2 linked regions of the Schizosaccharomyces pombe genome follow. The protein of the gene in region 1 interacts with the protein of each later gene in a pairwise test. Each region holds a gene or a part of one and is shown on either strand. Other genes may lie near its edges.

Region 1 (7,817 bases):
GGGTTGTCTCTTTCTGAAGATGGTAAGAAGTTTGCCAATATTGATTTTGGTGATTATTCTTCATCGGAAGAGTTTTTGAAAGAACATTTAAATATCTTGGCAGATGAGGAAGAATCTGATGCTATTCTTTTGGAAGCCTTTAATGCTGAACTAGAAGGGAAGCCGTCCTTAGCAAAACAATATGTTCATCAAGCCCTTTTGATCAGCTATTGCAGACAGCTTGGACCAAATGGTTTATCAATATTTTTTCAAAAAATTAAAGACCCAAATCACCAATCTCAGCGGCTATTTTTAGAGGATGTTCATAATACATATGTCCGAATCCATGAACGTTCTGCTGCCATCAGCAAAGAACAAGCTGAAAGCGGTGAAGGAGTAGAACAAATCCAGCTCTGTGCAGTTGATCCTAATACGAAACTTTCCATCACCATCCCGGAGGCAGGTTCTACTGATCCAGAGACACAAAAAGCTCGTGCAGCTTTTGAGTCTTTTCCTCCTAACCTCCAAAAAGCTCTTATGACCAATGATTTAGACAAGATTAATGTAGTTCTTGGAAAAATGGCAGTTGAAAATGCAGAAGAAGTTGTGGAAAAGCTCAGCAGTACTGGTATGTTGAGTATCGAAGAAGGAATCATCGACACAACGAAAGGTGAGACTATTCCTCAATTGTCTTAAATTTTTCTGCTTACGGGTGTGCTTTTAGTAAGCGAAAACACCAAAGTTACATGTTTGCCGTTGGCATTTTTAAATGGATAAACAACAATGAAATTTTATTTATTGATTTACCATACCTTGTGTGTACCGTATAATAAAATAAGTATTTAAACAATTTGTACATTTGCCATCAAAGCAACGTGGTCGCTGGGATATCTTCCTTCTAAAGGCTCCGCTTCCTTCATCTCACTGGGTAAAGGCACACGTAACAGTGCCTTTAATTTTATACCTTCAACGACTTGATTTTCGGGAGTTTGAAGTGAGGTATCACGATTCATAACAAATATGTAGTCCAAATGGCCCTGGTAAGCATGAGCCCAATTGGTAAATGCTGGATGATCAAACGTATTTTTTGCATTTTCTGGGTGAACCAGTTTATAGCCCACTGAATAAAGACTGAAAAGTACGGGATTTTGCTCGTGCTGCTGATAAAAAGAACGGTAGTGAGGTACATAGTCATTTTGTACATGCAAAATTCTCTTTTTTGGGGTAGAAGCTGTGGATTCGGGAACACTTGAGGTAGAAGAGGATTGACATTCTTCTTTGTCATCTTCATTGGAATCATTTTCTGTCTTAGTACTAGCATTTTTTTCTTCCAACTCAGATTCCCCAAATACGTAATTCATACTACGTTCTATAATGTCAGTAGCCCTTTGGCAGATGGATAGAGGGCGGGTAGTTAGCGCAGGAAAGTTGGTATCGAACGGTTCAGTGTTGAAGTCACCAGCTATAAAAACAGGCCAAGAAGGATGACTTTGTGCCATCTTGTTTACTTCCTTTACCAATATTGCACCTTGGCGTAACCTTTCGTAAGAGCCGTAAGGATGCCAAAATAAATGTGTAGTAGCCAAGAACAACCCTCTGCTCGGGTCATCTACCCTTTCAAGGCGTACACAACAACCGATGTTCTTGGTGTTCATTCTACCTGGTAATTCATCATGATCATCGTAATAAATAGTCAAATCTTGCACCTTTTTGAACAAAGAGGATTTCCAAAAAATCATAATTCCATGAGTTTTACCTTCACCTTTTATGAAATGCAATTCATAACCCAATCCACCTAATAACTTCTTGTAGAAATTAGGAACAAATTCAGCATCAACTTCTTGCATACATCCCAAAGTTGGTGAATAATAGGTTAATTCATTAGCGAGCATTCGTGAGCGATTTTTCCATTTTAATGCCTCACCACTGTGTGGAAACATTGAACGACGAATATTTGTCTGAGCAAGTACGTTGTAAGTCATAATAGTAATATCCAATGCAGACTTTTCAGTTTCAAACGGTGCATAATTAGGGATGGAGAGCATTTCACGCTTTATAAAGTCCGTATTGAATTCGGGTGGAGCATTGCTTGGTGGAGCAATAGGTTTTCGAGCAGCCTTCTTAGCTAATAATCAGTTAATAAAATTGAGCAACAAAAAATTAAACAAAGGAGTAGAGATTCGGTCTTAAAAAAAGTTTCACAACAACCTTCTTATTGTTGCTCGACTAGATGAACGAAAATTTTTTTTCATACCCATTTTCTCAAGTTTTTTTTGGCGTTGTTTCTCTATGTATTCAGGCGTTACGAACGAAGGAGGGCCTTTAGCTGAGCCTTTTTTCTTAACGGGTATCGAATCTGCCATCTTGTTCTTTTTCTGATCAAAGAATGATATAGCAAGTTTGGATAATCTATAATCAGTGTGGAATCGATCGATAAAAAACTTCAAAGTCAATGTACACGTTTTAGGACAAGTGTACATACAATGACTTTTGAGTAGACTTTATTTAAGTTTTCACAGCCGAAATGGATTAACGACTGTTGGTTCGTACAACCTCAGGTATATCATCTAAAATACCGCATACTAGCGTGCTCTCCTTGATGCCTTCTGTTCGCTTCAAGAAAAGGAGCCATTGGAGCTTCTTTGACTGATTTGAAAGGATCTGTTTCAAAATTATCTTCAATTGTATTTTTACCCTCGGCATTTGAAGAGCCTTGAATGAATGCAAAGGCATTAACTAAATCTTCGAGTTCCAAATCTTTCCAAGCCGGTTCATGCCTAAGCTGTTTGTTTTTCATTAAGATTAGATTTGCACTAGAATGTTGAATAGTCATCTCATCTTCTGTAACAGGTGGTAAGTGTTCTACTCGCACTTCGACATCGTCAACTGGAAGTCTATCTTTTAGCCAATCCGAGGCAAACAAAACTACTCCCGGTTTATTCATATGAACATAATTGTAATTCGAATCCATTAATTGTTTTACTGATTCCAAGTAGGAGACTTATGGTGCTTTTATACGGTTGGTGTTATTGGAGAAGTCGGTGGTAAGTGTGTAAACAAAGCATTTAGCAGCAAAGTCTACTAGTTGGGGGGAGGGAGATCTTTCCATGAAAATCAATTATAAGAATTCTAGATTAATTTCTTATTCACATAATTCTATGAACTTTTAAGTAGAAATAAAAATCAGTTAGGTGGTTTGCTACTATTCTTCTCAAAACCTTCGTCTCTTAATCTATTTATTCCTATTGGCATGTTATTTTTCTTGATAAATAAGGTAAATATATGTGCTTGCTTAGCTTACAAATTTCAAAGAATGACACTAATAGTGCAATGTTTTACTTAAGCTATGATTGTGTCCAAAACCCTAGCAATACTGACAGAGTTATAATGAAAAATTAAGCGTATATTTCACAATCATATAATCATATTCCCCCTTTTCTGAAAAAATGTCAATGGCAAATCATATACTGTTTTGAGTTAAAGAGGCTTTGGCAGATCATAAATCAGCCATCCTAATTAGTAAAAAGAATACAAAATTGTGATGGTTATGTTAAAAGTATTCCTAGTCATTAGTGCATCACCTTAGAGTCATGTGCTGTATATATATATGTGTCTACCTTTGCATAAACAAACTTGTATTCCACAGTCAAACTAGTACAATACACATCGTTCTGCGAAAACGTTCTGTTTATTTTTCAGCAAAAAATTAAAGTTTAAGCTATCATTCATTGCCAATCGCATATCAATTCCAAGATTTATTCATTGTTTATTTACATTTGGAAGCTAAACAATAACTTTCACGGAAGCAACAACACAACCAACAACCAACCCTTCAGAAGTAACTTTCGGAATAATTTTGTATTCAAACCTATATCGTTTATCATTCCTTTGGATTTCTTTTAATCTTTCTTTCGAACACGAAAAACTTACTCTTCACTAAGCTTCGAAATTTCCAATCAAACGATTTAACAATAAGAAAATTTTGTGCTTAAAATCACCAAAATGGATTCTCATGTTTTAGCATTTCCAATTCCTGATCCATCTACACCTCCTCCCGAAGAGGCATCCCTTTATGCTAGTAAATGTGACTATTATGAAAGCGATATTTACTCTCAAATTAGGAGATTAACCGAAGAAAAGTGCATTGAGACAGAAAAAGAGTTGCCAGTTAATATAAAACTACATGTCAAACATAAAGGAATGAGCATATCATCTTCCCGCAATGAACTAGTGGTTACTGTTTCAGGAAATTATAAAAATGTGTACACTGCAAAAATAAAGATTTTGCAAGCCATTCCCAAAATTCTAATCAGCAAACTTGTGCTCGAAGAACCCCTCGAAAACCTCCTTTTTGATGAAGATGGGTACGTTTATGAAGACACTATGAAACATTTGGACAAAATAACGGAAATAACGGGAGCAAAAATTTATATCATGCATCGTTCCATGTGTCATGATATCGATTTTCAGCTACGTACTGACAGCGGATTCAGCAATCGATTAAATGAACAACAAAGCTTCTACCAAAGGCATTTAGAGTCTACTAGGCATGAATTTTCATGTCAAAAGAACGCAGAGAATTCTTTTTTTATTGTCTTTTATGGTGACTATTGCAGCGTTGAACATGCTAGAATTCGCGTATTAGCATTAATGGATGAAATCAGAGGATTATCGGTAGTAGCTATTGCAACTTCTGTATCTTTTCAGCCAATTCTCGTTGGAAAAGCATTTTCTAGTACTGCCGGAATGAAGGCTACTGAATCAATTAATATTTATACATTACCGTTTTGCAGCGACTCAATCCCTCGGCTTCAAACCTTACCCGCCTTAAACTCAAGTAAAATAATTATTACAGGAGAAGAGGAAAAATTGCAAAGACTCGAAGAGGCGTTTTATTACGCAGAAGAACATCTAAAACTGTTTACTCACGTAACAGAAATTTCATTTGTTAAGCTTTTCGAATTTCTCGCTTACGAAATGGATGAGCTTCGGCTTATTATGGAAGAAAATTCTTCGTTTATTCGCTTTCCTGAGTATTTCAAAGAAGGAGGAGAAACGAGCCCAGAAAATTCAAAAGTCAAAATCTACTCATCTTCTATAGCGAATTCTGAAAAAACAGCACTCCGATTGGCAAAGCTTGCAAGTAAATATGTACAAGGAAAAACTCAGTTTGGAGTTGAAGACAACGAAGACTTTCTGAGAGTTGCTGGTTCTTGGAGAAGAGCGTCTACAATTGAAAAAGGAGTTTCAAGCTCTGAATTGTCCTCTATTGTATCCTCGACTGGCTCCATAGTGGAAACAAATGGAATAGGAGAAAAAATGTCATTCTCTCCTCTTAAGAAGCTAAGTATTCCACCAACAGAATTTGTAGCTCAAATTGCAATAATTTGCATGGCTTCTGGAGTCGAAATGCTCCTAAAAACCAATGGGATTGAATATTTCGGACAAGAAAACACCGTGCCTATAGCAATGGATAAAGCAAGCAAAATATTTTATAAATTTGGACAATCCCAATGGCACCAGATACTGCTTGAAGCCCCAACCAAGGATCAAGATTTCATATCCGGTAAAAAAAATGGAAAACTGGATAAGGTAAAGCAGCAATGCCGTTTCAACTTAAAGAATGGGGACATCTTGTTTTGTCCCCAGTCGACGAGTATATTCACGGTTGATATATATAGTGACGAATTGGAAAGAGTAATTAAAGGAATGAACACAATGTTGCTTGAATTTCCAGCTGAGATGCACTTTTACGTTCCAGAGGAGATTCACAAAAAACTCATTGGATTTCGAGGAGAGCAAATCCAACGTGTAACTAAACTTTATAATAGTTACATTGAATTCTCAACTACTCCTTTTGACTGTTACGGGCACAACGTGCTCATTCGCACACCATCAAAGTTCTCCGAAAATTTGTGGGCCGTCCGATCTTTATTCATTAAGACAGCTGAAGGATTAGGATACGACATCCCGAAGTATTTGTTTGCTAATTGAATTTTAAGTCAGAATCCAGTCATCGACCTGCCCATAGATCACCACACTTTCTCGTTATATTTTTTATGTCCATAACAGACACTCAAGCTGGTTATTAAATTCGGAAACTAAATTTTTTGAAAATCAAAAGTGCTCCACTGTATCAACTTTGATACACATCTTAAGTGCACAATATAATTTAATGAACGTGATCCACGCAGAATTTTGAAGCACATGACAAGTTTAAACTTTAAGCAGTTCAACGATTTGTGCAGGACGGCAACCACTGTTCGTATGCCTTTTTTATTTCTTATTTTGTTAATAAATTGTCATTGAAAACAAAAGATAAAACGTCGATAAACACAGCTAGATTGATATAATAACAACAAACATCTTTTCAGTAAAAAGAAGTAGAAACTGGCACTAACCGTTATTAATCAACTTGCTATACGCTGTGACATCTAACACTCTTTGACCAGTTAATTAGAATCGTATTTGATGAGAAAACGATATTGAGTTAATCCATCCACTTTCTTTGGAATGCATGATGATTAAATTAGTAAATTAAAGAAACAAAAAGGGATTACACAAGAGTTGTTAAACATAAAGACGTCGTTCGACTATAAAAAAAGACGTGTGAACCGTAATGCACCCTTTGCGGTTATTGGGTTTCTTCGGTTTTTTTTATACAAATTATATTACGCTTAACTGAACGAACTAATCAAGTAGCACAGAAACAAGCCACTCTTATTTTTTCTCAAGAGTCGAGCAATACTTCGTTCTCGCTGACAGGATTGCTAATAACACTAACGAAAGATGAACAGGGGGAATGTTGTATAGTTCATTTTTAGTCGTACAATAAATCTCGATAAATTTGTATAAGCAATATCATTTTAAATGTTTCAAAATCTCAAAATAATATGAAGGAAGCAACCATCACTTACACAAAGTATGAAACATAAGGAAACGATATAGAAAGAATCTGGAAAATAAGCAAATATTAATAATAGCTAGATCGAAACCTGGTGGTTTATTCGCTGCAAAGCCATAGCGGTAACAAAAGGAACAAATGCCAGTGTAGCCTTCTATATAAACAAAGGTCCTATTCTTTGACCTCCACCACAAACGGCTACGAGTTTAAAAGAGCTAGCAAATGTTGTAAAGCCTTGGTATTTTTATTTATTTTTTAATCAAGAACAAACTTTGAATAAAACCGTAAAGAGTTTTCTATCTTAGCTGCCGCTCATTTTTTGAGCTGGTGTAATTTACCTATCCATTCTCTTGGGAAACACCTTTCTTTTAATTTTCAGAATATTGATTTCCTTATGAATTCGGGTACGACACTTCATCTGGACAGACTTAGTTTGGAGACGCCATCCGAACGTACTTGTTTTTGTATTAAATGTTGGGAAGTATGTGAGGTTCAAAATTTAATCGCCGTGTCCGGAGAGCGGTCTTTTCACAAAACGAGACCCTGTCTTGAAATTGGACACTGCTCTTTTATTTTTTCCCAGCTGTAATGAACGGCATTTACTAACTTTTGCTCTAGAGTGTTCCCAGTACCTCTCAAGTTTGGTTCGGTGGGAAATGTTGGCATTCCGATTGGTATGATTGAAAATGCAAACGTTGGGATTTTTGGATCTTTTTTTTTTCTTATAGATTGAATAAAAAAATATAAAATGCTCCAAAGATTACCCTTGTTTGTGCTTCTTGTTGTTTTGATTTACTAATTAAGACGGTTTGCTAGTTTTAAATGTGTGAACTGCAACAAAAAATTAGACCCTTCCTCTGAAGATTTTTCTCAAGACGATCAAAAGCAAATATTCTGTAAATTATGTGTTGATATCTGCAACGGTTGCTCAACT
Region 2 (5,724 bases), 320 kb from region 1:
TTACTTCGGATCCAAAAAAATTTAAACATCTTGACTTGAAGTCCCAGTTTCACTTTTTTTTTAACTTATAATGGCTTCATTAGGTCGTAAATTTTTTGCTGTGGGTGTTTTGTCACGAGTCTTCCCTTCTGCTTTTAATGCACAAAAAGGGTTGTTAAAAAATGCATCTATGTTCTTAACCCCTGCTTTCAGACTTTCTCCTAGCCTTCTACCTTGGAACTTTTCAAGAGGTTTCAAAGTGAAAGCATCAGTAAAAAAGCGTTGTTCATCCTGCTATTTTGTGCGTCGCAAAGGTAGGTTGTATGTACTATGCAAAAAACATCCGAGACATAAAACCCGTCAAGGTTAATGACTATAACCGGTTTCGCTTCTTCTTTTTTTTTCTACCTAGGCTAATTCTTCATTACGCTCACTTCATATTACGACGATTTTTGGACTACCTACCAAATCCTTACTCCCTTCTCTCTCGTTAATGCGTAGTCATTAAATGTGATATTATTGTTGACATTATAGCTTCATGCTAAAGAATTCATAAAAACATACGTAATCTTAAATGATATGCTTTCGCATCTTAGTCGATTTTTTTCAAAGCCTCAGTAAGCCTTTCTATACTTTTCTCATTATCAGTAATAACACCTTGATTTTTCTGGATACGCGTCGTTAAGTAATGAGCACGATCCTTCACACCTGATTCAAGGTTCCCAAGGTCCTTTAGCATTTGTAGCTCCTGTTCATCATTCTTGATAGCATTGTTAGCCATGCCAATTAACGCGTTACATCTCACCAACTGCATATTAGCACTTAATACTGGATCATTTACAAGTTGCCGGAAAGCCGTAACATATACAGGTTTTCCAGCGTAGACTTTATCCGGTCTTGCATTCACTGTGGTAATAGTAATCAATTCTGATTCTTCCAAGGCACGAACGGCATCGTCGTGTCCTTTGAACAGTGGGTCAAGCATCAACATATGATAGGGTATATATTCATGTTGAGATAAATAAGTAATTAAGGTCCATGACTCTTCTGGAGTGAACGTTGGCTTCTCCTCACTGGTTAAAGAAGCAGGCCGTAAAAATGTTTGCAAAATATCAGAGGCATTTTGACTTACAATACCGCCAATTGCTTCAGAAACACTGGAAGAATTAACCCGCAACCTACGAGCTACATAATCAAGATCACGAAGTCGGCCACCAATCTTCGGTAATTGGACCCGCAATTCTTTCCTCAATTCTTCTGTTTGCATCTCTTCGGGTAAAGACTCTATGACATATCGCTGAGCAAGTACAGGGTCAGCATCTCCTAATAACAATGTTCTATTTTCCCAACCGTTGACATATTGCTCTAATGACTTGGTGCCTCCAACATCGGGTGTTAGCATTAGTACATGAGCAATTCCTTCCTTTACCAAATTACCAGCCCATTCAGCAACCACTCTCTGCATCGGGTTTGATAATTTACGAAGCTGGAAATTGTCGAGAATAACAACAGGTAAGCGATCTGCATGAACTTCTAAAAACTCAGATTCATCCAACACACTAGTATCGGCTTCTTTATGCTCTCGTAATGCTAGAGAACGCAATACCGTTTGTGTTGTGTTAAGAATTTGCCGCACTTGTCCTTCACTAGAAGAAACAATTCCCGTTTTTTGTCCTATGAGACCTTGTGCAGCCATATCGATAAGTGACGATATGTTGTTTAGGAAGCTAAAGAGGGGGAAATACCCCGTTTGGCTAGCAAGAGTACTTACGAACATTTCCGTATTAGTAGTGGAGAATAAGCGATCACAGTCGAAAAACAAAACATTTTTTCGTTCTTTAACAACTCGATCTACCAGATCACGCTTACCACTACCACGAGGACCTTGAACAACAATAAAAGAATGTAATGCTTCATCCAACCATTCTTTCAACTGTTCACAATCCTTTTCACGTGTTGTCCAAATCGGTGCCTTTATATTTGTACCATTTTCGTGAAAGGGACTCAAAACTATATCGCGAGTTTTCTTTTTGACCCACCCAACAACATTGATATTTCTCAACTTCTGACCATGTACAATGTTTGTCTCGACAAAGAACTTTCTTATCGGATCGAATAAAGAAGCCGTTAAAACTGTAATAGCCGCCGCAACCAAAGGAATAGTAAAACGAGGATGAGAGAATAACCAGTCTTTGAAGGCGACAAAGCGGTTCATATGTCTGTATCGCATGTGGAATTCTGTTTTCCCATAAACAAAACCATGCATACAGTTTAAAGCTGACGTAGCGGACCTTAGCGATGAAAAACTCAAAGTAGCAGAAGTAGGTGAATTAATGGTCACGGATCTTAGTTTTCCATATGTCCTAAAAATACTATACAATCTTTCCTGGGAAAGGGGCGGACCTTCGAAATTCACATCTACTGTACGAGATGGAAATATATATAAATCTTGAAGCCAAGGAATACCATGTACCATGTGTGGAATCGGGGTAGAGAAAGGGTGTAAAATTGTTCGAACTGGACGCTTTCGAAATGATTCACGGACGTGTTCTGAAACCGCTTCTGTATCTTGTGGGAATTCCTTGTAACGTACTTTTAAAAATGCTCCTCCATCTTGCCATCTGAATATGATATCTTCCAACTGCATTGTATCAGAGCTTGGAAAAGCAGCACTTAGCTGCTTTTTCAAGTTGTTCTGAAAGAGCAACGCAGTGTATCGCTGAATGTAGAAATAGGTTGGAGTATTGACGAGATTATCCACGAAGAAAAGACCTTCATTTGGATCTAGCTTGATATGACCAATATTATGTGCCACTAAAGAATGAGCATAGCGACGTGGAAACATAAACGGTCGTGCATGACCCAAAAATGAAGTATTTCGTAACCCCGTGAACCGAGATAGAAACAAATTCATAGTTTCGGGTAGGCTTTAAATTAGTTTCAACGATGTCTAAGAAATACACAACGGTTTGTTGCACTCCAATATGAATATTCAAACACCAAAAACGAACAGCCAAGAAAATGATTATTTAAGTTATACGGTTAACAGTAAGTCAGGATTCCAAATGGGATCTGTCAATGATGTAAAAGGCTAGTGGTTTAAGAACATTGCTTAAAAATGCTAAATAAAATTAGCATTGTAAATTTAGACATCGTTAAATAAATTCAAAACAGTAGAATCAAATGGGTCATTTGAATCATAAAGAGTTGATAGCCTTTTAGCATGCATAGGTTGTGTATCCAGTTATTATCTTCAAGTTCTTTTTTCGTAAACAATTATGGGAATAAATTCGATTGTACATACATTTTTCAATCGGGTAATGCAGCAGCATAGCTTTAGCAATCATGGTTGATTCGATATTATTATTTTTAAAGCCTTAATTTTGAAATCCGTATTCACTTATATCTTCGTAAAATTCAGAGGCGTCAGCATTTGTGATATCAGCATCCAAGTCGACTTCTTCAATATCGTGATCTTCTACTTCTTCATTATCACCATCCATATCGTCCATTTCGCCTTCTTCAGGAAAGCTCCCACTTCCCAATTCTTCTTCATCCAACTCAGTGTCTTGATTAGCCTCTTCGCGCTCTTGCTCTTCCAAATCAAGCTGCTCTTGCATAGACCTATTTAATCCAATGGGCCGAATAGTGCGAAATCCAAACTGTTTAATTGCAAGCTCCTAAGATTCGTTCAAGTTAGACTTTTCTCATGCACAGAAACTCGTTGAAAATCGTAAACAAACATACCTGAGTCTCCAGTCTAACTTCTTCCTTTTCCAATTCTTTCATAGAAGGAAAAGACGTAGGATACCATAGTTGATGGGCTGTATTAGCCATCAACGACATAAACGACATGATTTTATGCTGCAAATAAATATTGGTATTCAAGAATCAGCTGGTGTATTGTAAGACTAAAGGCGTTACTATGGTGACTGGGTTATTTACTAACCCAGTTCTGTACAATAAACAAAAAATGTAAACACAAAGCAATGCTGAGAAGCCACAAAATTAACTTTCGTGTTAATTTTTGGTTCACGTATTAATTAACAAAAGCTGTTGAACTTATTTCTCCTCTTATTTTTGACTGATTTGAAATGTTTATTGCAACGCTTGAACAAGATTATTAACTAAGAGTATCAAAATGCTTATTTTCCTTTAATGAAGAGGTCAAGGGATAAGAAATACTTATGTTCCGTAACGTTTCATGTTCAAGTTTCAGCATTTAAGTAATTGAAACTGGCTACTCTTTTCAATTTCACGTAGGTGTACTTTAAATTGGGTTTTTTAGGATTCAATTATTTGCAAATACAAAATTTCAGAAAAAAGATACCTGTATGTATCTCGATTAATATCCTTACTATCTAATGTTACACATACTCATCAAACTTCTTAACTTACTCCTAACCACTATAATTTAATGAGAGCTTTTGATCCTATTTGAGCTACGATTTTAATGGAGAAAGGAATCAAAAAATATCTTCCAAGTTTACCGTTTTTAGCTTGTATTTCAGACTTTCCCGAAAATCATGGAACATCTCGGCGATCAGCAACTGTTTCGCTAGAGCGAGTTCACGAATTATTCACTGAACATTGGCTTTCTAATCTAAAAAATAGGAGAGAAAAAAGGCAGGAACTAGCTGAAGAAGCAGTTTACTGCCGCTCTGAAATGCTATCGCAGAGGAAATTGCTGGCTGCTGTTGACTTCCCACAGCAACTTAAGAACAGTCCTGCTAAAGCAAAGGCAACCCATACTTCCTCTGGAGTCACAAAGGAGGTAAGAGCTTCAAAAAAATACACATCATCTAATGTTGAGTTTCCACTCGTTACGGATGGAAAGGAGAAGCCAGTGAAGTCGAAACAACTAAGAAAGAACTCCGTTACTGAATTTGAAAAACCTATAGAAACGAAAAAAAGCAAACATCGGAAAAGCAGAAACAAGTTTTTAGATAAAAGCTCAGGAAGCATGGAGATTGAATCGTGGGACAACTCTACTTCTGATTCAATAATAGAGTCATCTTCTAGACTGCATGAAAGCATTTCACTTCGTGAAAATGATATTCGCAGTTCTGACTCTAAGTCTGTTGGCTGGGATGATAATTCTACTGGATTTCGTGAATCTTCTAAGTCTCTTGATCATACCGATACGTCGATGTTTATGGAGCTTGATTCGAATAGCGATCCACAATTTCGTCCGAAGTATCAAGCAAAATCCTCTTGGTTTGCCCCCGATGATCCTGAAGCTTCATGGGGAAACCTGGATGATGGTTGGGGCGAAACTAATGGTTCTTGGAGCTCTACAGATGATACAAAACATTACAAAAACGAATGGGCGGAGAGTATAAATCTTGACAATTTCAATAGGCCTTCACAACAAGAGGATTACGACAAACCGAAAAACACTCAGGTTTCAAGATCATCGAATCATCATCGACGATATGATTCTTACCATCCAGATAGTCGTTCAGATTCATATAGGTCCAAACGAGAACATTACGATAATAGAGATACAGGGCCTCGAAGTAAGCATTTGGAGAAATCTTCGTATGTATACAACCAAAATTTTGAAGATCGCACTCATTTATCAGACCATGGAGCCCATTTTCATTTAGGGAATGCCAATGATTTTAATATGCAAGGTTCGTCGCGTAAAAGAAAAGCCTCTGATCGTCAACGTGAATCCAGAGAAAATGAGCTACCAACTAAAAAGCTTAACGCTTCTGATTCACATAACCCGCTAGCTTCCTT

The links. Proteins that work in one complex are often made in the same cells at the same time.
Region 2: the proteins of apc13 (region 1) and apc15 interact in binary tests that used the Schizosaccharomyces pombe proteins (3 or more experiments, as listed by UniProt).

Annotation. Positions count from the first base shown.
Region 1 is NC_003423.3:1,832,346-1,840,162, forward strand, and holds apc13 (anaphase-promoting complex TPR lobe accessory factor Apc13), read right to left. Parts: upstream 3,011-7,817; 5' UTR 2,951-3,010; coding exon 2,543-2,950; downstream 1-2,542. Other genes in the region: Hsp90 co-chaperone Cdc37, read left to right, coding at 1-675; SPOM_SPBC9B6.11C (CCR4/nocturin family endoribonuclease), read right to left, coding at 822-2,104, 2,234-2,459; SPOM_SPBC28E12.02 (BICC1 family RNA-binding protein), read left to right, coding at 3,982-5,973; Rho-type GTPase-activating protein Rga4, read left to right, coding at 7,278-7,364, 7,502-7,557, 7,700-7,817. UniProt on the Schizosaccharomyces pombe protein: Component of the anaphase promoting complex/cyclosome (APC/C), a cell cycle-regulated E3 ubiquitin-protein ligase complex that controls progression through mitosis and the G1 phase of the cell cycle.
Region 2 is NC_003423.3:1,514,837-1,520,560, reverse strand, and holds apc15 (anaphase-promoting complex platform subcomplex scaffold subunit Apc15), read right to left. Parts: upstream 3,866-5,724; 5' UTR 3,835-3,865; coding exon 3,727-3,834; exon of another isoform or gene 3,660-3,726; coding exon 3,357-3,659; 3' UTR 2,987-3,356; downstream 1-2,986. Other genes in the region: rtc6 (mitochondrial 54S ribosomal protein bL36m), read left to right, coding at 71-349; RNA-binding protein Yme2, read right to left, coding at 572-2,893; tas3 (RITS complex subunit 3), read left to right, coding at 4,433-5,724. UniProt on the Schizosaccharomyces pombe protein: Component of the anaphase promoting complex/cyclosome (APC/C), a cell cycle-regulated E3 ubiquitin-protein ligase complex that controls progression through mitosis and the G1 phase of the cell cycle.